Saccharomyces cerevisiae S288C: one gene and its partners. The protein of the gene in region 3 interacts with the protein of the main gene of each other region in a biochemical or structural test. Each region holds a gene or a part of one and is shown on either strand. Other genes may lie near its edges. The genes, in order: SEC9, ATG1, SRO7 and SEC4.

Region 1 (6,073 bases), on a different chromosome or scaffold from region 3:
GATTAATGTATAGATTATACTCTTGGATGTAACGGATGACAGAGTTTGGAAGAAGATATTGAACTGACATTCCACGTCTGATGAAAAGCCGCACTTTCGTAGAGGAAATATCATTGTAAATAAGTTGTTTGATAATAAGGATATTTCTTCTGTGTTCATACATGATATCATGGGAAAGCAAGAAGGACCTAACATCAGAACCAGTCCTTTCCACGATCAAACATCCATAATTACCCAAAATATGGTGCAGGTCTGAATCAGCCCACACATGAGGCTCGCCCATGGATTCGATAAGATCACCGCCTGCCAATAACATGATTTTTACGCCCATTTTTTCACCATCTACAGTCATGATTCCACCTCTCTTGATATTTATTTCATGATTGAAATGGTCCAAGACTTTTGCTGTCCTTGTATAACTTGATTGTAAAGATTCCCAGGCATCAACCATTAACCAAGATGATGTCCGCTCGCATGCTAATTCGCACATGCGGACACGATGATAAGCTGGGGCTAACCCTCGCTTTTGATAGTTATCACTTACTGGAGAAAAATAACCACCAACCACTTCAAAACGCGTTTGCTCATTGATATCATCTAAAGCCATTTCAAACATTCTCAAATGTAGGTATGTTATGGGAGAAAATGATCCACAAGCAACGATGATCAGAGGCAGTTTTTCAGGATCTTGTAACTTTTTCGTCAATCTGTGTACAGGAAATTCGTAATCTTCAATAGTTCTGGCTTGTCTTACAATTGTGTGAGGAACTTCTTCCAAATCAGCAATTTGGCTCTTCAGTACCCCCAAATTCCCAGTCATCGTAACATCCTGTAGAGTAGCGTCAATTCCATTCGATTGCCCTTCACTTTCCTCCTCCGATGATACATCCCGAGATAGTGGCTGGAAGTCACTAGTATTTAATGGAATATGGTCCATTCGGTTGCTTGAGTTGGCGTTTTTTTTCCTTGACGACAGGGTTTTGTAAATGTCGAGATTGAAAGGAGCATCGATCGAAGAATTATAATCAGCTAAAACATATGGAACTATGGGTCCAGATTTTGGTATCGTATGTGTTGGATCTGGCGGTGGTTGTAGTTCTTCATTTGGCTGTGGCGGTTTAAAATCGGGTGCTTTGGTGGGATCCATTACGTAATAAGTGCACTTTTTCTTGCCTTCTCCACTTTAAACTCTCTCTCTCTCTCTACTTAACAGTGGAGGAACAGTGACTAAGGTAGAGTATGATTGTACTATAACTTACAGTCTACTGTCGTCACGCTGGGTCAATTTACATTGTTATTTTTCTTGGAGACGACACCGTCACATATGGACAGCGAGTATGGTAGATGGTATAAGCAAAAAATGGCCAGAAACAGGCGATTATTTGGTAAAACGTAAAGATTGATCAAGACGATAAGTTTGAGAGATTGTGAAGCTAAATAAAATCGTATTGCGAGTATTTTACATTCCATATACGAATAGTACGATATCCATGTGGGGTGCGACTCAGAGACTTTCTATTACCCGTCTTTCAAAAAGAAATGAGATACGTTGATCCTGCTTTTAACAATTTCGAATCGTTTGCGTAATTATATGACTTGCTCCGGTGTATAAATAAATAAAGTACATTCTTGGTACTCCTGAACCTAGCCTGGAGTAACTCGGAATAATACACCATTGACACCAAAAGAATGGGATTAAAGAAATTTTTTAAGATTAAGCCTCCAGAGGAAGCGACACCAGAACAGAACAAGGATACTTTGATGGAACTGGGTATTAGTGTCAAAAACCCTAGCAAGAAAAGAAAAGAGAAATTTGCCGCCTACGGTAAATTTGCAAATGATAAAGCTGAAGATAAGGTATACGCGCCACCAGGTTATGAGCAGTATGCTAGGCCACAGGATGAACTTGAGGATTTGAATGCTTCTCCCTTAGATGCCAATGCTAACGAGGCAACTGCTGGTTCTAATAGAGGTTCAAGTGGCACGCAAGATCTCGGAAATGGAGCAGAATCCAATTCTATGCAAGATCCGTACGCTATCGAAAATGATGATTACCGATATGATGACGATCCTTATGCAAGGTTTCAAGCTAATAAAAGTAATGGGAGAGGTAGCGTCAATGCTGCGCCTTATGGTGATTATGGAGGGGGGTACAATGGCACATCTCTGAATTCATATAATAACGATGGCCCGTATAGTAACCAAAATACTTCAAACAGCTGGGTGAATGCGAATGGCCGTAATAGTTTAAATCATTCAAACAGCACTTTAAACGTAGGGCCTTCGAGGCAAACAAGGCAACCGCCGGTTTCAACGTCGACCAACAGCTTATCGCTTGACCAAAGAAGTCCCTTAGCAAACCCGATGCAAGAAAAGAGAAATCCTTACGCTGATATGAATAGTTATGGCGGGGCGTATGACTCCAATACTAATAGATCTAGCGGTACTCGACAAGGAAGCTCCAAGAATGCAAATCCATACGCCTCTATGGCGAACGACTCATATAGTAATGGAAATTTGAACAGGTCTGCAAATCCATATTCTAGTAGAAGTGTGCGTCAACCGCAATCGCAACAAGCTCCAATGACTTATACGCCCTCTTTTATTGCTTCTGATGAAGCAGCACGCAATAGTGAAGTTGATTTAAATGAAGAACCTAGAACAGGTGAATTTGATTTTGAAGAAGTTTATGCTGACAAGTCTGCAGAAAATAGAGCGGCATTAGATGAGCCTGATTTGAATGCAGTAATGACGAATGAAGATTCAATAGATTTAAATGCGTCCGAAGTTGATCATAGTTCAAGACAGCAGCAGCAGCAACAGTGGTTCATGGATGAGCAGCAACAGCAACAGCAACACTTTAACGCAACAAATAACCAATATGGAGATCAAAGGGGTTACAAAACATTTGAAGAAATACAAAAAGAAGAGGAGGCTCGCCAGCAGCAGGAAGAAGATGAAGCAGTAGATGAAATCAAGCAGGAGATCAAATTTACGAAACAGAGTTCCGTAGCCTCTACTAGAAATACACTAAAAATGGCTCAAGACGCCGAAAGAGCAGGTATGAACACATTGGGTATGCTGGGTCATCAAAGTGAACAATTGAATAACGTAGAAGGAAACTTAGATTTAATGAAGGTGCAAAATAAAGTTGCAGATGAAAAAGTTGCAGAACTAAAAAAATTGAACCGTAGTATATTGGCTGTCCATGTTTCTAATCCGTTTAATTCCAAGAGAAGGAGAAGGGAGAGGGAAGAGCAGCTGAAGAATAGGAAAATTGAAGAAAAATTAATGAGAGAGCAAACAAGTCAACAATTGTCTCAGTCCACTCAAAGAATAGAGGGTGCTATGAACGCAAATAATAACATAAGTGAGGTGCGGGAAAGATATCAGAGGAAGAATGTTCTAGAAAAGGCAAAGAGATATCAGTTTGAGAATGATGAAGAAGATGACGAAATGGAATTGGAAATTGATAGGAATTTGGACCAGATTCAGCAGGTTAGCAACAGATTGAAGAAAATGGCCTTGACCACTGGTAAAGAATTAGACTCTCAGCAAAAACGTCTCAACAACATTGAGGAAAGCACTGATGATCTAGATATCAATCTCCATATGAATACCAACAGGTTGGCAGGTATCAGATAGAATATGCCTGTAAAAACTATGTAATATATCACAAGTAACAACATTTCATCACCATTACTACCATTATGTAGAAATTTATGAGCAAAGACAAATAAGTAAAGAAAAAGACATTGATATAATATAAGAGTATGCTTTCTTCATTTTAATGTTTGGTTGTGAATTGAAAGAATACCATTCGGGCACGCAATAGTTATGAACTTAACCGAGCTCAAATAATTTAAAGATAAAAGATAAAAGATAAAAGATAAAAGACAAAAGAAAATTCATAGCCCATGTTGAAGTATCCCAGCGGGAAATGTTGCTATCCAACAGAAAGTACCAAGCCAGTTTCAAAAAGGTACAGAATTAAGTGATGCTATCCGTCCCACAACTAATTTTCTCCAGCGGAGGAAATATACGCGGAGGGGGGGAGGAAAACCTCTCAGTAAGCAATGAAGGGATAGATAATGGGGGCGCGCCTGCCTAGCTTAGGCTAAGAAACTCCTTCGAAAACAGGGGGCTGCGAGCGCAGAAGCGAACACTTGTCATTTGTATAAAAGGACTATTTATAAGTTTGCTTTTTGTCACTCTCTTGGCCCTAATTACCCATACTATTGTAACAATTGTTGTGTAAACTCAATTATACAAATAAACGAACAATCAACAGTAACAAACCGCTCAAGTGTACAACCAATCAGAAAAAATGACGAGAACAAACAAGTGGACCGAACGTGAAGGAAAGGCTGATCCAAAGTACTTTTCGCACACTGGTAACTACGGTGAATCTCCAAATCACATCAAGAAGCAAGGTTCCGGCAAGGGTAATTGGGGTAAGCCAGGCGATGAGATTGATGACTTAATTGATAATGGTGAAATACCCCCAGTGTTCAAGAAAGATAGAAGAGGCTCAAATTTGCAATCGCATGAACAAAAGTTTGAAAACGTCCAAAAGGAATGAGGGCGTTTTCAAGATAAAAAAAGGTTTTTTGATCTCTGAAGGATAGTGGCCTTCTCCACTGATTTATATGCATCTATAGGTATATACTTGCATGCCTACTTCATGACTTATGTAATACAGTTTTCTTACATCCATTTAATTTACGTTCGAAGAAGTTTTCAACATTTGTTTATATGGACATTCCCTTTTTTTGGTTCCTCGCAATGTAAACCTCCCTTTGCGATTCCACCCTCTTCACAATAAGCTCTTTAGTCAAGTATTCACTGAATTTTCCGGCAGCAGTGAGGACAGCCGTGCCAATATGATACTTCTCGCAGTTATACTGAGACATTGAGGTGGCGTCAGCATCGATAATAACGGCATCAACATATTTACAACTTAAAACGCTCAAGACGCGTTCCTTCATCGTCATAATGGTACTCGAGTAATCGCTTGTGGTAATACCAACAATCAATTTCTTATCGGGGTGAAGATCCATTTTCAGCTTTCTTAACTGATCAATATCCCCCATATGGAATAAGTCAAAATCCCCGTCAACATAAACACAATCTTCTGCATCGAATTTGTATCCACCATTGACCAAGACATTGTCCAAATCCCTCTGAAAGACATAACAATGTTTTGAAACGGCATCTTGGGCGACAGAATAGAAACTCAATTCCTGGGTGGTGGGATAATAATCAGGATGAGTCGGTGGCAAAGATTTTTTCGTCAATATTCTATGTATAATCTCGGTAGTACTTACGCCATATGTTCTTTTAACTACCTTGAAGCGCCCCATCTCTTTCACCAACTTATAGCAGTCTTCTCCATTAGCATCTATGGTGATATCATCACCATGAACAACATATTGGCACTGATATTTATCCATCCAATTGGGATCTGTAACATATGGCGCCGCTTCAACCACTTCCGAACACCACCTATTTGATCTAGTATGCTCATATCTTTCTGAAGAGTTCATTACTGGTGTTCCTTTGTTATGCTGAATATCTTCATCGGTATGCACACCACAGAATAGTTTACCATTTTCTTTTGAAACTGTTCGACGAGCCTGCAAAATGGCTCCCGCATGCCCATGATGTGTGAAATCAAAGCAGCCGTCTATCCAAACTTTATCCGGATCTAAGTTTACCGTCATCCAGTCAGTATATTTCAAGTCCCGATCCTGTAAAGCATTTGTCTCTGGAAAATTGAACAAAGGCTATCAACATCTGCATTCTTGCTTCTTATTTTGGCCGCATGATATCGTGCCACGCGATAACGAAAACAATAGTTCAACAATTAGGCTAAGCTATCGTGGTTGCTGGTATACCATTCTTCAAAAGTTATTAATCTTTTAATACTGGTAATCCATAATCGCGTTCTTTCATCAATCATTATGTTAGCAGCATTCCGGCCTCCTTGAATTTTCGAATGTGCACTACGAGCATGAATGCCTACGCTAGTAACACCAATAGGCCAGGCCACATTGCCGATACTGAGTTTCAT
Region 2 (6,722 bases), on a different chromosome or scaffold from region 3:
CTTAAAACATGTTGACAGAGAATTAAAGGAGTTGATTAATTCGTCCGAGAATGCCAATAAATGCGGTGAATGTGGTAATTTCTACCCAACTTGGTGCTCAGTTAATTTGGGGGTTTTCCTTTGTGGTAGGTGTGCCTCTGTTCATAGAAAAGTTTTCGGTAGCAGAGACGACGATGCCTTTTCTAACGTTAAATCACTATCAATGGATAGATGGACAAGAGAGGATATCGATGAATTAGTGAGTCTTGGAGGCAATAAGGGGAATGCTCGGTTCTGGAATCCTAAAAATGTCCCTTTTCCTTTTGATGGAGATGATGACAAAGCCATCGTGGAGCATTACATTAGAGACAAGTATATTTTGGGTAAATTCAGGTATGATGAAATAAAGCCTGAAGACTTTGGATCCAGAATGGATGATTTTGATGGGGAATCGGACAGGTTTGATGAAAGAAATAGAAGTAGGAGCAGGAGCAGATCTCATTCTTTCTATAAAGGGGGCCATAATAGGTCTGACTACGGCGGTTCCAGGGACTCATTCCAAAGCAGTGGAAGCAGATATTCTAGGCAACTGGCAGAACTCAAGGACATGGGTTTCGGTGATACAAACAAAAATTTAGATGCATTATCGTCCGCTCACGGAAATATCAATAGAGCAATCGATTATCTAGAAAAAAGTTCAAGTTCAAGAAATAGTGTATCGGCAGCAGCGACAACATCAACTCCGCCCCTGCCCAGGAGACGTGCGACAACAAGTGGCCCACAGCCAGCTATTTTTGATGGTACAAATGTAATCACGCCAGATTTTACTTCAAATTCAGCATCTTTTGTACAAGCAAAGCCAGCAGTTTTCGATGGTACCCTTCAACAGTATTACGATCCTGCTACCGGAATGATATATGTAGATCAGCAGCAATACGCCATGGCTATGCAACAGCAGCAACAGCAACAGCAACAGCTTGCTGTCGCACAGGCTCAGGCTCAGGCACAGGCACAGGCACAGGCTCAAGTTCAGGCTCAGGCTCAGGCTCAGGCCCAGGCTCAGGCTCAAGCACAGCAGATCCAGATGCAACAGCTTCAGATGCAGCAACAGCAACAGGCGCCATTATCTTTTCAGCAAATGTCGCAAGGAGGAAACCTGCCACAAGGTTATTTCTACACACAATAAAAATAAGATACATTGCCGCTGCTCCGCATTACATATCATATAGAGTGACACTAAGTAATTAAATGACACTAAGTAACGAAAGATATCTGTAAACAACGACTATATACCAGAATTAGTCATATTCTCTATTGTATTCACCCTACACAGCCGCATTACACAGCTGCTCCGGACGTTTTACGCTGCACATCAATGACTAATACCACTGTATTTGATCCACACTTAGCGCAAAAGTCACCTGGGTGGCGTTTTCCGCTCGCGCTCCGCCGGTGAGAGCGAGAAAAAAAAAAGGGATTGGGCGGTAATGTAAGGAAAACCCACTAGTTAAAATCAATGAGATAAGGAACTCTCTTTTTTTCCCGTTAATCATCTTTTCCTTGTTCGTTTCGTGTATCTGTAATGAATCTTATCGGAGTAACTATTACTGGAAAGCCATACCGTTAAAGAAGCAAGCATATCATTCGTATTCAAGCATCTGTTTTTCTTTTTAACCGCTCGGCTCTGATTTCTTAAACCATTTCCCCCATCAGCATCAGTTTGTGATTTGTAACTATATCGATCGTGGAATCGATGGAATTCTAAGCGTCATTTAGTTGGCAACAAAAGGAATCGAGCATCTCATAAAGGAGCTTATATTATTAATATCTTCCTGATCGTACTATTTTTTTTTAGCTTTTTATTTTTTAGGCCGAGGTTAATTCTAGAACGCCACATTTCATCACCTTTAAGTTAAGTACCAAGGCCATCTTTTACCCTTTTTAGTTTCTGGGGAAACAGAGAACAGTACTATAGAAGATAAAAAGATATAATACAATCGTAGTAATAGTACCCATAATAAAATAACATATAATATAATAAAAACATAAGGCAAAGGAGATAGGAGAATAATCATTGATATCTCCACAAAACGAATTTGAAGCTACCCCATATTTTCAAATCTCTTTTACAACACCAGACGAGAAATTAAGAAAATGGGAGACATTAAAAATAAAGATCACACAACCTCTGTGAACCATAATCTAATGGCAAGTGCAGGAAATTACACCGCTGAGAAAGAAATCGGAAAGGGTTCGTTTGCCACTGTATATAGAGGGCATCTGACATCCGACAAATCTCAGCATGTAGCCATAAAGGAAGTATCAAGGGCGAAATTAAAAAATAAGAAATTACTAGAGAATTTGGAAATAGAAATCGCTATCTTGAAGAAAATCAAGCATCCTCATATCGTCGGACTTATTGACTGTGAACGAACATCAACAGATTTTTATTTGATCATGGAGTACTGTGCTCTTGGGGACCTAACATTTCTGTTGAAAAGGCGTAAAGAATTGATGGAGAATCATCCTCTACTAAGGACCGTATTTGAAAAATACCCTCCACCGAGTGAGAACCATAACGGCCTGCATAGAGCGTTTGTCTTGAGTTATTTACAGCAGTTAGCGTCCGCTTTGAAATTTTTGAGGTCTAAAAACTTGGTTCATAGAGACATCAAGCCTCAAAACTTACTATTATCTACACCCCTAATTGGATATCATGATTCAAAAAGCTTCCATGAACTTGGATTTGTTGGGATCTACAACTTACCCATTTTAAAGATAGCAGATTTCGGGTTTGCAAGATTTTTGCCAAACACGTCATTAGCAGAAACTCTTTGTGGCTCACCATTATATATGGCACCAGAAATTTTGAATTATCAAAAATATAACGCTAAAGCAGATCTGTGGTCTGTCGGTACAGTGGTATTCGAAATGTGCTGTGGCACCCCACCGTTTAGAGCTTCCAATCATTTGGAGTTATTCAAGAAAATTAAAAGAGCAAACGATGTCATAACGTTTCCTTCATATTGCAATATTGAACCAGAGTTAAAAGAGTTGATATGTAGTTTATTGACATTTGATCCAGCCCAAAGAATAGGATTTGAGGAGTTTTTTGCTAACAAGGTAGTCAACGAAGACTTGTCTTCTTATGAATTGGAAGATGATTTACCTGAGTTAGAATCCAAATCAAAAGGTATTGTAGAAAGTAATATGTTCGTTTCTGAGTATTTATCTAAACAGCCAAAGAGTCCGAACAGTAATCTTGCAGGTCATCAATCAATGGCAGATAATCCCGCGGAGCTCAGTGATGCCCTCAAGAACAGCAATATATTAACTGCCCCAGCCGTTAAAACAGACCATACACAAGCCGTAGATAAAAAGGCTTCAAATAATAAATACCATAATAGCCTAGTTTCAGATAGAAGCTTTGAAAGAGAATATGTGGTGGTAGAGAAGAAATCGGTTGAAGTTAATTCATTGGCAGACGAGGTTGCTCAAGCAGGATTCAATCCAAATCCTATTAAGCACCCAACTTCAACTCAAAATCAGAACGTCTTATTGAATGAGCAATTCTCTCCAAACAATCAACAGTATTTTCAAAATCAAGGAGAAAATCCGAGGTTACTGAGGGCCACATCATCTTCCAGTGGAGGTAGTGATGGGTCTAGGCGACCATCTTTGGTGGATAGACGCTTGTCTATATCCTCGCTGAATCCATCTAATGCATTATCAAGAGCCCTCGGTATTGCATCAACGAGATTGTTTGGTGGTGCAAATCAACAGCAGCAACAGCAACAAATCACATCTTCCCCACCGTACAGTCAAACTTTGTTGAATTCCCAACTTTTTCATGAACTTACTGAGAATATAATATTAAGAATAGATCACCTACAGCATCCAGAGACACTGAAATTAGATAATACTAATATCGTTAGTATTTTGGAATCTCTGGCCGCAAAGGCATTTGTTGTTTACTCTTATGCAGAAGTGAAATTTTCTCAAATTGTTCCATTATCAACAACATTAAAAGGCATGGCTAACTTTGAGAACAGGCGCAGTATGGATAGTAATGCTATTGCAGAAGAACAAGACTCAGACGATGCAGAAGAAGAGGATGAAACGTTGAAAAAGTACAAGGAAGATTGCTTATCCACGAAAACTTTTGGAAAGGGTAGAACTTTATCTGCCACATCTCAGTTGAGTGCAACTTTCAATAAACTACCACGTTCGGAAATGATCCTTCTATGTAATGAGGCCATTGTCTTATATATGAAGGCATTATCCATTTTATCAAAATCTATGCAGGTAACGTCCAACTGGTGGTATGAATCTCAAGAAAAATCATGTTCTCTAAGAGTTAACGTGTTGGTACAGTGGCTAAGGGAAAAATTTAATGAATGTTTAGAAAAAGCTGATTTCCTGAGATTAAAAATTAACGACTTGAGATTCAAGCATGCTTCTGAGGTAGCTGAAAATCAAACTTTGGAAGAAAAAGGTAGTTCGGAAGAGCCAGTATATTTAGAAAAGCTATTATATGATCGTGCATTAGAAATATCTAAGATGGCCGCACATATGGAATTAAAAGGAGAAAATTTGTACAACTGTGAATTAGCTTATGCAACTTCACTTTGGATGTTAGAAACTTCTCTGGACGATGATGATTTTACGAATGCCTATGGTGACTACCCTTTTAAAACTAACATACATCTAAAAAGTAACGACGTTGAAGATAAAGAGAAGTATCATAGTGTGTTGGATGAAAATGACAGAATAATCATAAGAAAGTATATTGATAGTATTGCAAACAGGTTGAAAATATTGAGGCAGAAGATGAACCACCAAAATTAAGTGATGCATAATATGGTTTTCTTATTAAGTACAAATGACCTGCTATATTTTCAAGTATCTTCATGATTATGTTATGCTACTCTCGAAATGCTTTACGAGTTCGTCATTAAAGTATTCAAATTTTATTTTCCCTTTGTGTTTTGTTTTGTTTTTATTTCTACGTGATTTTTTTCTTGAAATCCAGCTCTTTTATACCTGGATGGGTTTTATTTTGATGTTTAAATGTTAATTAAGGAAATTATTGAATTCCTTCGGTTTCGGTGTGTTTTTTTCTTTTTAAGTTTTTTTTTGTTGCGTTTAGTACTTGCCTTTGGCTATACATATCCTTTTAATCTAATTTTTATTTCTTCAAAATTTGATTCTTTAACCTTTTGTTCTATATATATATATAAATGTATGTATGTATGATTTGATTGAGGAGGCTTTAACAAGTCATTAATATCTTTATTATTTTTACTTGTTGAGTTCATTAAAATTCATTTTATAATTTGTTGTTACAAACAGTATTTTACAAGTCATAATAAACGTTCAAAAACAAACACAATATTAAAAGAATTGGTATTAGGATCCGACATGACAATTAACTTAGATCCTTCTATCAAGTTTCTAATCATATATTACATCTATTAAAATAATTTACATATATCATGCTAAAGCTTATAAAGAGACATTCTTCTTCTCGTGCGCTGGGCGTCGCTAGCCTCAAATACAAGTGATGCGTCTGCTTCTATTCTAAGGTCATCCTTGCTGTTAGATTTCCCTTCTACCAGGTGGGCTTTTATACGTTGAGGTACATTACCGACAGGCGTAAGAGTAGAGCTCAAACTTGCTTCCGTACTCTCAAAGGGATATTCTCCTACAGGAGACATAGTTGTATATTGTGGAAACTCACAAGAATTCACTCTTAATGAACTTCCACTCTCACCTATCAAGCATTGTTGATCACCGATTGCTGGGGCATCCTGAATACTGATCTGAGATGCAAAAGCGGTGGATGATGTGAAAGAGGAAAAGGACGAATAGGATGACTCTCTAGAACCGATGTTGTGATATGCTGAGGGTGATAAGGTATTTGCGTCGTATATTGATGGAGAATATGTTGAATTTCTGTCAGCACCAGTCCTAAGGTTATTGTGGTCAAAATTTTCCATATAAACGCTATCTAAAGAGGCGAATGATGAATTCACTGGTAGGCTGACCAATTCTACCCTTTTGCATGAAGAGGGCGGTGAAACTTTCAACTCATGAAACGTCTCCAAATTGGTCAATACGGATGCTGCATCGCTTTTACCATAATGGCACATAAACGGATGTACCTTGATGTCTGCTAGTTTTATCCGTTTGTCAGGATCTTTTTGTAACAGCTTCTTCAATAAATCTTTGGCATCAGTGTATTCTTCCATTGTGATTCCCGAAGTGGCACCATTCAACATTTCCTCATAAGATGGAAATTCTAAGGGTTTATTGATAATACTGTCGAAAAGTTCTAATCCTGAATTGGCGTTGAAAGGCAACTTTCCAAACAACAAGCAGTATATAGTGACCCCCAATGACCAGATATCGATGGCAGATGAGCAGGAATACTCTTTTTCAGTGGAGCAAAGCTCAGGTGCAAAAAAAGCAGGGGTCCCTAAGGCTCTAGATTTTAAAAGTTGTTCATGCGATGATTGTATATTAGTACTTCCGGTGGCAGTTGACATAGCAACGCCAAAATCGGATATTTTCACCGTTCCGTTTGATGAAATTAACAGGTTCGATGGTTTGATATCTCGATGCGTTATCCCTTGGGAATGTAAATACTCCAGACCCGATACTACATCCAACACTACCTTCCTCGACTGTTGGAAAGTGAGTATTGATGGTCCCACTGCTTTTATCTCCATTTTGTTTTCTGG
Region 3 (7,241 bases):
CGGGCTTTTAAATGAGTCTTACGGCCCAATGTGTTACTTTAGAATAGTTCCTTTCTGCTCGTCTCTTGCTTAATGCTTAGTAGATCACTAAATAAAGTAGTCACATCTATAAAGTCGTCTTCGATAATCAGGATGTCATCCGCTACCGCTGCTGCTACTTCTGCTCCTACTGCTAATGCTGCTAATGCTCTAAAAGCTTCAAAGGCTCCAAAGAAAGGTAAACTACAAGTGTCTTTGAAAACACCTAAGGGTACGAAGGATTGGGCTGATAGTGATATGGTTATCAGAGAAGCCATTTTTAGCACTTTATCTGGCCTATTCAAGAAGCATGGTGGTGTCACTATCGACACACCTGTTTTCGAGTTAAGAGAAATTTTAGCAGGCAAGTATGGTGAGGACTCCAAACTGATCTACAACTTGGAGGACCAGGGTGGTGAATTATGTTCTTTACGTTACGATTTGACCGTTCCTTTTGCCAGGTACGTTGCCATGAACAATATTCAGAGTATCAAGAGGTATCACATTGCAAAAGTCTACAGAAGAGACCAACCAGCCATGACTAAGGGTCGTATGAGAGAATTTTACCAGTGTGATTTTGACGTTGCAGGCACATTCGAATCTATGGTTCCTGATTCCGAATGTTTGTCCATTTTAGTGGAAGGTTTGACCAGTTTGGGAATCAAAGATTTCAAAATCAAATTGAATCACAGGAAGATTCTTGATGGGATCTTCCAAATCGCTGGTGTTAAAGATGAGGATGTGAGGAAAATCTCTTCTGCTGTCGATAAGTTGGACAAATCTCCATGGGAAGCAGTCAAGAAGGAAATGACCGAAGAAAAAGGTCAATCCGAAGAAACTGCTGATAAAATCGGTGAGTATGTTAAATTAAATGGTTCTTTGAAGGAAATTCACGCTGTTCTATCCGCAGATGCCAACATTACTTCAAACGAAAAGGCTAAACAAGGTTTGGATGATATTGCTACTTTGATGAAGTATACCGAAGCATTTGACATTGACTCATTCATCTCTTTTGATCTTTCTCTTGCAAGAGGTTTGGATTACTATACAGGTTTGATCTATGAAGTTGTTACTTCTGCATCTGCTCCACCAGAGAATGCTTCAGAATTGAAGAAGAAGGCCAAATCTGCAGAAGACGCGTCAGAATTCGTTGGTGTCGGCTCTATTGCAGCCGGTGGTCGATATGATAATTTGGTCAACATGTTCTCTGAAGCTTCCGGCAAAAAATCTACTCAAATTCCATGTGTTGGTATTTCATTTGGTGTTGAAAGAATATTTTCTTTGATCAAACAAAGAATTAATTCCTCTACAACTATAAAGCCAACGGCTACACAGGTGTTCGTTATGGCTTTTGGTGGTGGTAAGGACTGGACTGGTTATTTACCCGAAAGAATGAAGGTTACTAAGCAATTATGGGATGCTGGCATTGAAGCTGAATATGTCTATAAGGCCAAGGCTAATCCTAGGAAGCAATTCGATGCTGCTGAAAAAGCGGGTTGTCACATTGCCGTAATCCTCGGTAAGGAGGAGTACTTAGAAGGTAAATTACGTGTCAAAAGATTGGGCCAAGAATTTGCCGATGATGATGGTGAATTGGTTAGTGCGGCTGACATTGTTCCTATTGTTCAAGAAAAGTTATCACAAATTCATGAAGATGGTCTAAATGAGGTCACTCGTTTAATTAAAGGATTATAAACTTGATAGCTCATGTATTTACAAACCTTCGTAAAACTAGACATGTATAATGAAAAATAAATCGATTCAAATTAATTTATAAAGCATATAGAACTAAAAAAAAATAAGTATAGAAGGAAGTTGCTCATTACCCTGTATGAATTAGTGTATGTATTTAAAAACCAAGGGCACCTTTCATTACATCTTTTCCAGTCTGCTCAACAGCCTCGTTCATTGTTTCTCCCATGGCGGTAGCATAGTCGTTGAATCTATCTTCAACGGCGTCCCATCTAGTTTCTACAGCTCGAGAAACATTTCTTAGTACCCCGTAACTACTGTTCCTGCCCTTACGGGTGGGCTTGGTATACTGGTGTTCCGGATGGTTCGCATTATTATCGTCTGAAGAACGCTCCGAGAAACTTCCCTCAGCAATGATGCTCTCTTTGTATTTGGATGCAGGTCTATTCACGCCACCCAATAATTCATTTAATTGAGCGGGAGTACAATATACAGTGCCTCTTGCCCACTGTAATGAATTTACTTGTGGCCTATAGGGAATCCTGATTCCATTGATGTACAGTGTGTCAGAAACTGGCGCTAGCGTATCCTGTTCCTTGACAGTAGAAAATAGTGACGCCTGAAATTCACTCACTCGAATCGCTATATCACCATTTCTTAAAACAGATGATTCTGTAATGTATTTTGCGGCAATTGGAAATGGAATATGTTCAGACATTTGTTCTTTGAAATCTGGAATAGTAAAAACTCTTAGATGGCCATTGATTTCTAATGTAATTATTACGGTTAGGTTCTTCCTATCATTATTTTTCTCAACGGTTGAGATGTAAGATAAACCTGTCGCGGCAAGCGGGTATTTGAAACCTTTATGTGTACTTTTAGATTTGCCCAGTGTTATTAATCTGATATCATCGAATCCAGTTATTAATACAATACCAGGAATGCAAAGGCCTTTACTTAAATTCTGCATTTTTGGAATAGTTGCCAAGCAGCTAGATTTTGTTTCCTTTGAAAATGCATCAATTTTGTGTATCGGACCCTTACTGGTAACATTAGTAATATCCATTAGTTGCACATCGAACTTTCCACCTGATGCAGGAAGAATTTTGTATGTGATTACCTCGCCCATATCAGTACCACAGACCATCAATATACTAGAGTAACCATCGTCTCCATACTCCATAATTACGAATTCGATGCAGGTAACACATGCGCTTTGAGCTCCCGAGATTTCTCTAATGTTTTCCATGTAAATGATTGCAGGACCTCTTCTATCGATCAACATAAGGCTTCCGGCAGCATATGCGATTCCAACAAATCCAATATTACTGTTGTTGATTGCAGATGTTTTCCCTTTGTTGGCATGCACGGCAGTTGATGGCATAAATCCCTGCCTAACACCGGTAGGTGCCCTGTCTCTCACATCGACGAGAACACCATTCGTATTATTCAAAGAAAACCGCCTGAAATTCATCTCCAGGTCACCGCTTTCTGGTCTGTTCTCAACACTGTAAAACTGGTTTACTTCATATTTGAATAAAACAACGTCTCCTGTTTCAATTGACACCGCCAACTCGAGAGTCTCTGCGGCAAAAGATATCTTATCAACTGCTAGTTCTTTGGCCTTGTTCAACGTTCTTGATAGATTCACTTCAAAGCTAGCATTATCTTGTATATCCCCATGGGAAGCATCGTATATCCTAACTGAGCCATTAGAATGGCCGGTAATGAATGCTGTACCGTACTCAGCGGGAAGTTTTTGCCTTTTTGTTCTAACCCCTCCCTTCAACAAATAATCCTTGTTTTGAGCTGCAGAAAGCGCACCAAGCCATAATTTGTTTGGTACAGAAGCGGCCATTGAAGTCGTGGCTAATGGTCTCAGCCAGGAAAGATTTTGAGGGAATAAAGAGGCTTTATCTGTAAATATTCCAGAAGGATATAGCATTGTTTCTATCTCACCGTTACCTAGGATTAACAAAATTAACCCCGGATTATGACATCCTGCAAAATACGGGGACTGTCTTGGAATTGGTAGTATATTCACTATTGGCACATTGGTTGGTAAGGGAAATATCTTCATTTGTTTCGGATTTGCATAGTAGTTCTTCATACCTTCATAAGAGGTTATTGAATATCTAGGTGTGTAACCGAGGTCGATCATAGTGAGACTTTGATTATCTCCTCTGCTGATTGACTTATGAGAGATGAGTAGTGAAGTATATTCTGGATTGTTTTCACACATCCAATACACTTTCGAAATTTTGGCAGCATTAGTACTAGAATCGCGTATGTAATCAGGTTGTGGAACATTGATTTCTGTCTCAAACACTGTCCTTGCCATGATCATATGGCCTGAATTAGCATCCCAGAAAACCAAGGAATTGTCTTCATGAATAGTGATAATGTGCAGTGAATTAGGGTGATATAAGGACTGAATAACTTTGGGAGTTCTCTTTTCATTGGTTTTTTCTGAGAAGTCGCCTCCTGGAGCAAAAGGTGGTAATTCGTATATGAAGGATTGTTTGATTTCGTTCTCAACCAATGAGTATGTTAGAGTTACATACTCATATGATATTAAAACAGTTCCAATATCTCTAGGGTTCCACTGAATGGATACTATAGGTGATAGTCTTGCAGCCGGAAAAAATGAGCTTTTTTGTAGGTTGTCTAATTTGAAGGAGGAAAGTTGATCCCTATCTATGTCGTAAACTATCATTGAACCATTTTGAAGGCCGATTAGCATCCAGTCTAAGGATGCATCTGTGTCAATTGATGTTATTTTCCCCGGAACAAACACTGTTGTAAGTACTTTTTGAGAATATAACGATAAAACATACACAGTATCTTTTGCGTTAATGACCACCAAATAGATACCTTTCACAAATCTCATTTCTTTTATAGCAGATCTATCCTCCAGTTTTATAACCACTTCCACTTGTTGCTGGCCATAAATATGGACTTCCCCTGTGACTGTAGCAATTGCCAATAAATTTTGGGTGAAATCGAAAGCGGCTGCGATCGGTTTACTGCTCATCCCATATTTGTTGGTTTCTGCTAGTGAAAAAATTTTATTTTTGTTATTTGAACTTATAGGAATCTTCAAAGAAGAGGAAGATTTCGCATCTTTGGAAATAGTAGATGTCTTTGAATTTTTGGATTTAAAAGACGCCTTTGAGTTCTCAATGGGTGTCTCTGAATTTTGGCCTTTTAGGGACTTAAATGCTTCCTTAACATTTTTCAGACGTTTGCTACCGAACATTTTGTTTTGCTCTTATGTGTATAGAGAATTAGTCAGAAATAGTATTGCTTGCTCTTCTTGTTTTATATTTAACATATTCCAAGATTTAAATTCTAACGTGATTAGGTTCATTTCGTTTGAATTTTCATTTTTTACTTTTAACAAAAGCGCCGAACAGGATTCTAGAAATTAAACAAAACCAACTAAACTATAAAAACGGATATTTAGTTCGGTATTGAAATGCTAAAGAATAAAGAAAAGACGACCTTTCTAAGTTATTTTTACTAAGTGTTCCATGAAAGTAAATAATAAGCCAAACTTTTACAAGAATAGCATAAAAATACATACTCATTATACATAATGCAATATTAAAACCTTTATTTTATCCGCTGTTAAGGATTAGCTTCAGCATACGGTGTTCCCCTGCACTCAGTTCTTCTGCATCGCTTAAACCTTCTTCTTCCATAATCACCGGGCCACTCCATGGTCTTTCTTCTATCTTGTCATCATTTATTATAAAATCTCTGGATAGCAACTTCTTAATATCTACATGTTCTATGAGCCCAATTAAATTTGTTACTTGCTCTTTTGCCTTTGATGAGACAGTTTGGAGTATTCTTGATGCACCGGGTAGAGTTTCCAAAACCTCAAAAAAATGCATAATTTCCTCCTTAAAAATTTGGACAGTATCAAAATCACAATGTTTACACTTTTCTAAAATAACCAATAATTTAGGTTCAGTAACCAATCTTTCAAGAGCCTTGAATTGTTCAGATTTTATAAAGATATCCAGTACATTGATTTTTAAAAGATATTTTTGGGGCGATTTAACTATATCAAAAACCTTCTTTCGGGATCTGGACAAGCTGTTTGAAGCTTGTGTTCTCTTTTTCACCAAAGTAGTCAGCTCTTTGAGCCGGTACAAGTCTTCGAGCTGATCATTGGCAAAATCTATTCTTGTTTGCACTTGTTCCTCGGTTAAGGACCCCAATGAATTATTTTCAAAACAGGCAGTTAATGGGGTACCTCCTGTAAGCTCCCTTTTCATTGACCAATATTTGCAAATATCAAATGCGCCTGCTGGTGGGTTAGCTAAGCCAAAAAAATCAACGACCTTTTGCAATATTTCAGCAAAAACATGTGGTGCTACCGGCGTTTGATTAGGTGTTTTCCAAATTGTTTTGTTGAATTTTGAATTTGTCCTATCATTAGCTTCATTATGCTGAGGAGTTTCGGTTTGTAATGTAGAGAGTAGAGAGAAGTATTTTCTAGCTTTATTAATACCTTCTATACTCGTTTGCCATCCTCTAGGTGCATGCTTGTGGCAGAAACTTTCGACTGAATACTTTTGGGAGAATTGATTAGAGGCCAATTCTTGAATAGTGCATTTCCCTTTACTCATGTAGAGACCAGCTCGACGGGCACACGTGACATGATATGCTGTAAAACAGTTTCTTTGAAAGCACTGAATGCAAGCACCCATCTTCTTTTTACAGATGTAGCAGTTAAGTTTCCATCGTGATACGCTAACATTTTGAACGCCTTCTATAGGTTCCATATAATGTAAGTTTGAAAAGTATAGCTCTGGAAGCCATAGAGCACAAATGTTATGTACCCAAGAACCGGTGTCTGTTTGTTTGAATGCACCTGTATGACTTGGACACATTAGACAAGTGGCAAAGTTATTTTTTGAGATCATACATCGTCTACATAACCATTTTCCTTCCGGGATAAAAATTATACCGTAACATTCTTGATGCACAGCAATATCGCATCCATCACAAAAGACAATTGTATTCAGATTGTCACTGTCTGTGCCTAAACAAACTGCACACGCCTGGTCCATCGATAAACCTGTTCCATCATCAGAACCATATAGCTCATAATTCTTACAGTCCCTTAGAATATTATGCCTAGCAATCAGACTATTCGTTGAGGGTATATGTTTTTCAATATGGAACCATTCAGTTTCTAGTGTAGTCATTAAAATTTCAAATATTTCGTGAGACATTTGATCTTTAAAATACCTCTTATTAAGGTAGTGCAAATATAATTCATCCTGTTCATCCATGTCATACTGAGGCTTGAAATTAACAAGATTGGGTGAAATACTAGCGAATTTCTGAATTGCACTCTTTGTACTCGTCGAAATAGTAATATTCGGGGCTTCTTTACTAGAGAATTTGGTGAAGTAGGGTGCCTCCACACCATCGAATTCTTTTTGTTGTTGTTTATAACTCTTCCTATTTCTTACTTTGTTTATATGATAGTACCTGGATATAAAGCTCTCATT
Region 4 (4,942 bases), on a different chromosome or scaffold from region 3:
TCATTGCTGACAATGCTAGAAAACTTAGAAGCGCTGGCTAAGGGTTCAGATGCAGTGTTAAAATTACTTCTCAAAATGTTGTACAAAAATGAAATACGATACAACAATGGGGAATATTCTTCCGAATGGGAAGGCAATTCCTTTAATCTAACTTCCAACAAAGATTTAACAGATGGATACTTTGGATATAGCTTGTCATGTTTCTTAACAATCTTAGCAAACCCAGTAAAGTTCAATCTCTTAAAATTGTCTAATTCGGTAGACTCGCTTAACAGTTCCTCCAATACACGTTGGAATGCATCAGCGTCCAAGGCCTTTATGGCTGCTTCCGTATCTGTTTGTTTCTCCAGATGGGACAATCTCTCCATCAAGTTATTGTACTTTTTTAGTTGAAAACCATAGACTTTTTCAAGTTCCTTATCCAACTCTTCCACAAACTTGGATTCATCTGAATCGTCCCAGCGTGCTTTCTTATCGTTACTTCCATCCTTCACGCTATCTTCCTTCAGGAATTTTTTCAAGCCCTCATAATTAATATAAGAACCCTTCCAAGGAGGATAAACCTCATTAGCCAACTTCACTCCAAACAGCATGTCAAAAAAGTGTCGTTATGTTGAGGTGTAGTCGTTCTTTCTACTTTTTTTTCTAAACTCTTTTCGTCTATTTTATCTGTTTATACCTATGCCTCTTTCCCAGTAATTCGCTTCCGATAGAAAAGATAAGACGAAGAGAGCCTGCCTTTTTTGAGGTCATAATAGGATGGAAAAAAGTTGGCAAGAAGAAAGAAATGACTCTTAATGGGTAAGATACCAATTGCTTAAACACTCCATAAAGCGAATTTCGCAGTCAGTATCTTTCTGGAAGTGCTATACCGCAGTGCGGATTCATTTCCAAGCAGCACGTGGGTTTTTTTTTCGAATTGAGTGATTATGCAACCATACAGGAACCTTACATAAGCGCAAGTAGTTGAATAGTGGATTCAAGAAGCAAAACTTTACTACCGGTAAAAACATTAGAACGAAATAAAAGTGCTGAATCTTAAAAGTAAAATATATACTTGGATAAGAATTCCCAGGGAAACTGGGAACCTCGTTTTCCTGTTGCACTATTTTTTAGATTCTTTCTTGATTTTTTACCAATCGCCTGATGAAAATACCTTCCAGAGCAGAGAACAACAGTAGAAGTATGCTGAAAAAGTTAGTGTGAGAAGTTTGAATTGTTTAGATAATATAAAAGTGACATCTAATATGACTAATATAAAAATAGTAAGTATGGTAATCAAAAAAAGATACAAACAATGTATATATATAAAGGAAAAATAACCTGCGAATATTGAGAAAAAGGGAAAAAAGAATCAAGCGATTTATAGCTCTAATTCCAGTTCACGATTAATTCTCAAAGAAGCAAAAATCTTCTTTTCTTCAACAGCAATTTGATTTAGAACTGTTTCCGCTCCCACTATTGATGCTAATATTGCCCTCTTTACCGTTACCGACGCCAACAAGCTTGTTACTGTCGATTTTTTCTTGGATTAACTTCGCCAAGGTGAAAAAAATCTCGTTGACATTGTCATCGTTCTTAGCACTGGACTCGATGAATGGTATACCCAGCTCCTTAGCCAAGGCTTCACCTTGATCAGCTGTTACCACTCTCGTCTCCATATCGCTCTTGTTACCAACCAACAGTAGCTGTGCTTCATCGTTCGCATGCTCATTAACGGTTTTAAACCATTGCTTGATATTAGTAAATGTTCTCTCGTCTGTCACATCATATACAAGAATGATACCCATAGCACCACGATAATACGCTGTGGTGATTGTCCGGAAACGTTCTTGACCAGCGGTATCCCAAAGTTGCAGCTTTACCTTCTTACCGTTGATATCGACAGTCTTTATTTTGAAATCAATACCAATGGTGGTGATAAATGACGGGTTAAATTTGTCTTCAACAAAACGAACCAATAAACATGATTTCCCAACACCAGAATCACCAATCAATAAAATTTTCATAATAGAGTCATAGCTCTTTCCATTACCGGATGAAGCAGAAACAGTTCTCAAGCCTGACATGTTTATCTTGTTATGTTTATATTCTTTCTGGTGAACGATACGCCCTCGTGTATATACAGTATGTCTACTTTTTCTCCTTTTCTTATTCTTCCAAAAAAAAAAGTTCCTAGTTTATTTTCTTGGAATTGCAATAGGTTGGAATAATGGATCACTAAAAGACAAGCTATAGTGGGTAATTCAAGTTTCCAGCTTCCCTAGAGGTAGAATGCTTTGTTTGGTATAACGTTTCCCTGCCGTTGATCATTCTCAGTGGTGAACTTCCAGTTTTCCTCAAAATTGATTTATTACCCGGCACGCAGCCGTGATCATAGTTACACTAACAACTTACTTTTAGAGTAAAACTAATCAGCAGATAGCTCCAGCTATTTGTTTAGATGTACATATATGTCTAGATATGTGCTTAATATCCTATACTAATATGAATCAGGCATAGTAACTTCTCCATAGGACACCCTCCAGGTCTTCCAGTTCCTCCGTATTGAAAGATGCTCTATCGAACTTCCAAGTGTCGGCCCTCACCTTCTTGAACTCACTAATAGTATTTTTGGCAGCTTGTCCAGTCATACCACTAGTCCTGGCCCACGAGGATAAGTTGCTTAGTTGCTTGGGTATCCATGGCGGTAGGGGAAAAACATAGGGGAACGCTGATATAATAGCTCCCAAACCCAAAACGTTACCATGAATCTTGATATCCGTTTTGGATAACTTTTGTCTTTCTTTCGACGTGTATTTGTTGACGTCGAGACCCTTTGCAAATCTCTCGATTAAACTCAACAACGGCTGTTCCTCTTTCCAGTTATGGACGATATCAGACAAAATGGATGCCGCACGAACTCTCACCTCTACAAACTGTTCGTTATACAAATTGCTGACAACAAATTCCAAAATTTTGTTCTTTTCTTCCTCAGTAAGTTGAAGCAGTTCCGCTGATAAAAAGTGTTGGATGAAAGCTAGCTGTAGTTTCGTTTGGTTTGAAGATAGTGCTACATTTGACGAACAAACATAGTCAACAATGGCGGCAACATGGTTCTTTCTGATCGGCATATAGCCCAAGCCGGCATACAATCGAACAGGATCTAAACTGGCAAGAGCACAAACATCTTTATGTTTCACTAATCCGATCAGAAATGGTAAAACATAATCGACTAAATATGGAACTAACAAAACTTTATTAGGCCCTCTCGCCATTTCTTTGATCCAATAAAATATTGTGGATGTCCTGTAAAAATAGTCTGTCTTAATAAATTGTTGAGGATTCAGGCCGACAACGGAATCTTCCAGATTTTTAATGATCTCAAACTGCTTCTTAATATAGGCATCCACCTTTTCTGGGACGCTTTTTAATGGTAACCCTAATCCATCTGGATCATTCCGTTCTGCTTCTAATAATGTGGTTGGATCTGAAATTGACGGATTACTTTGATTTTGAACTAAGGTCGTCAATAGTTTAGCGACAGCCTGGCGAACCTGATCGTATGGGTGATCAAATACCAACTCATCAAATAGCTTACCAACATCTGGGGCTCTAAATTCCATGCTCATCAAGATACTTCTTAGCATGTAAATTTTGGAGGTTTGATGTGTGGCTGCATCAGATTCACGGTCAAACATGCCATCGGCGTTGATAAAATGGCAAAAAAAAGTTTTAGACCTTCTTAAATCAACGACTGCAGGCAACCACCATGCCAAGGTGCTCCAAATTTCAAATGCGTCATGGTTCAACTCATAATCTAAACATTTGGCTAGGAAGTTTTCGATAAAAGTGTCACGTTTGTCCAAGTCAGAGACTGACATAAACTTACTCCCGCAAACTAAGCCAGCCACTATCTCGACAGACATGATCATCGAAGCCTTATCGTCTTTGTTATAGTAGGATTCACATAGCTCAAAGAGATCCGACATATTCAGTTCGCAGAAACCAGATGATATCAAAAGGATTACTAAAGAGAAAAATGACACGTTACCACTACTAAAAACACCCCTAGTTTCATTATCTTGGACTAAATTCATTGTAACATCTCTCAGGAATTCTCTTGTCAATAGATGACCAGCTGTCTTGAGGACTTCCAGTTCATTCTCACGTAAATTGAGCTTTAAAGCTTTCGGCGACATGACGTACATAAGCCTTCCCCAACATAGCCACCCTACATACGCCCTCAAATCGATAAAATACTTGGGGTTATCAAAGTTATTCATTTCTTCAGTAAACGTTTTAGGGAAGCTTGTGGTCGAAGTGTCCAGTATTTCCACAAATGATGGATTGAATTCATTCTTATAGGCCCTGGTGATGTCATATTCATAGTCAGAGAGAGATATTATCTTGTTGCACGTCGACAACAATGACTTTACAACCAAATGTATGATTTCGGGATGTTTTGTGGAGATTTGGGAGATTATTGAAAATACTGCTCTTTTATCGGGTTTGCTTTCGAGGTTCGATTGGATTTGTGTAACAAAACGTAAAATGAACATTCTTATCTTCCACCCCATATCTTTTTCATTATCTAATTTGTCTAAAAGTTTGTCCTGCAAATCCACTAACAGAGAGAGGTAGTACTCACGCTTTTTCTTTTTGGCAAGCTTTACCGCTTCAACTTGCAAATTAATAGTACCATCAGGAGGTGCTAAAGGTAAGAAAGCTTGATCGGAAATGACACATACACTAGAAGGAATCTTGATCCCAATCACTATGTCAGTTAAGATTTTATCTGCATACATACCAATCTCTAATTCATTCACACGACAACATTCAATAAGCAGAAATATCAATCTGCCGATGTCTTTATAATCCGTCATAAGCTTCCTATGGATTTTCTTAATTAACAAAACATTTAAAATAACTTGGATTTTCATATAATCATGATCCTTAATCG

Evidence for each region.
Region 1: the proteins of SRO7 (region 3) and SEC9 form a complex in vitro, tested with the Saccharomyces cerevisiae proteins (4 studies listed by BioGRID).
Region 2: of the proteins of SRO7 (region 3) and ATG1, one has a biochemical effect on the other in vitro, tested with the Saccharomyces cerevisiae proteins (one study listed by BioGRID).
Region 4: the proteins of SRO7 (region 3) and SEC4 form a complex in vitro, tested with the Saccharomyces cerevisiae proteins (4 studies listed by BioGRID).

The regions. Positions count from the first base shown.
Region 1 is NC_001139.9:506,619-512,691, reverse strand, and holds SEC9 (Sec9p), read left to right. Parts: upstream 1-1,689; coding exon 1,690-3,645; downstream 3,646-6,073. Other genes in the region: nicotinamide-nucleotide adenylyltransferase NMA2, read right to left, coding at 1-1,147; STF2 (ATPase-stabilizing factor family protein), read left to right, coding at 4,328-4,582; ECT1 (ethanolamine-phosphate cytidylyltransferase), read right to left, coding at 4,752-5,723; mRNA splicing protein PRP18, read right to left, coding at 5,867-6,073. UniProt on the Saccharomyces cerevisiae protein: Component of a SNARE complex that may be the effector of SEC4 function in exocytosis.
Region 2 is NC_001139.9:157,932-164,653, forward strand, and holds ATG1 (serine/threonine protein kinase ATG1), read left to right. Parts: upstream 1-2,133; coding exon 2,134-4,827; downstream 4,828-6,722. Other genes in the region: GTS1 (Gts1p), read left to right, coding at 1-1,165; serine/threonine protein kinase TOS3, read right to left, coding at 5,478-6,722. UniProt on the Saccharomyces cerevisiae protein: Serine/threonine protein kinase involved in the cytoplasm to vacuole transport (Cvt) and found to be essential in autophagy, where it is required for the formation of autophagosomes.
Region 3 is NC_001148.4:631,851-639,091, reverse strand, and holds SRO7 (Rab GTPase-binding protein SRO7), read right to left. Parts: upstream 4,970-7,241; coding exon 1,868-4,969; downstream 1-1,867. Other genes in the region: HTS1 (histidine--tRNA ligase), read left to right, coding at 73-1,713; NTO1 (Nto1p), read right to left, coding at 5,331-7,241. UniProt on the Saccharomyces cerevisiae protein: Acts as an allosteric regulator of polarized exocytosis by promoting the targeted fusion of vesicles with the plasma membrane.
Region 4 is NC_001138.5:127,461-132,402, reverse strand, and holds SEC4 (Rab family GTPase SEC4), read right to left. Parts: upstream 2,070-4,942; coding exon 1,422-2,069; downstream 1-1,421. Other genes in the region: VTC2 (vacuolar transporter chaperone), read right to left, coding at 1-593; proteasome activator BLM10, read right to left, coding at 2,493-4,942. UniProt on the Saccharomyces cerevisiae protein: Involved in exocytosis. Maybe by regulating the binding and fusion of secretory vesicles with the cell surface. The GTP-bound form of SEC4 may interact with an effector, thereby stimulating its activity and leading to exocytotic fusion.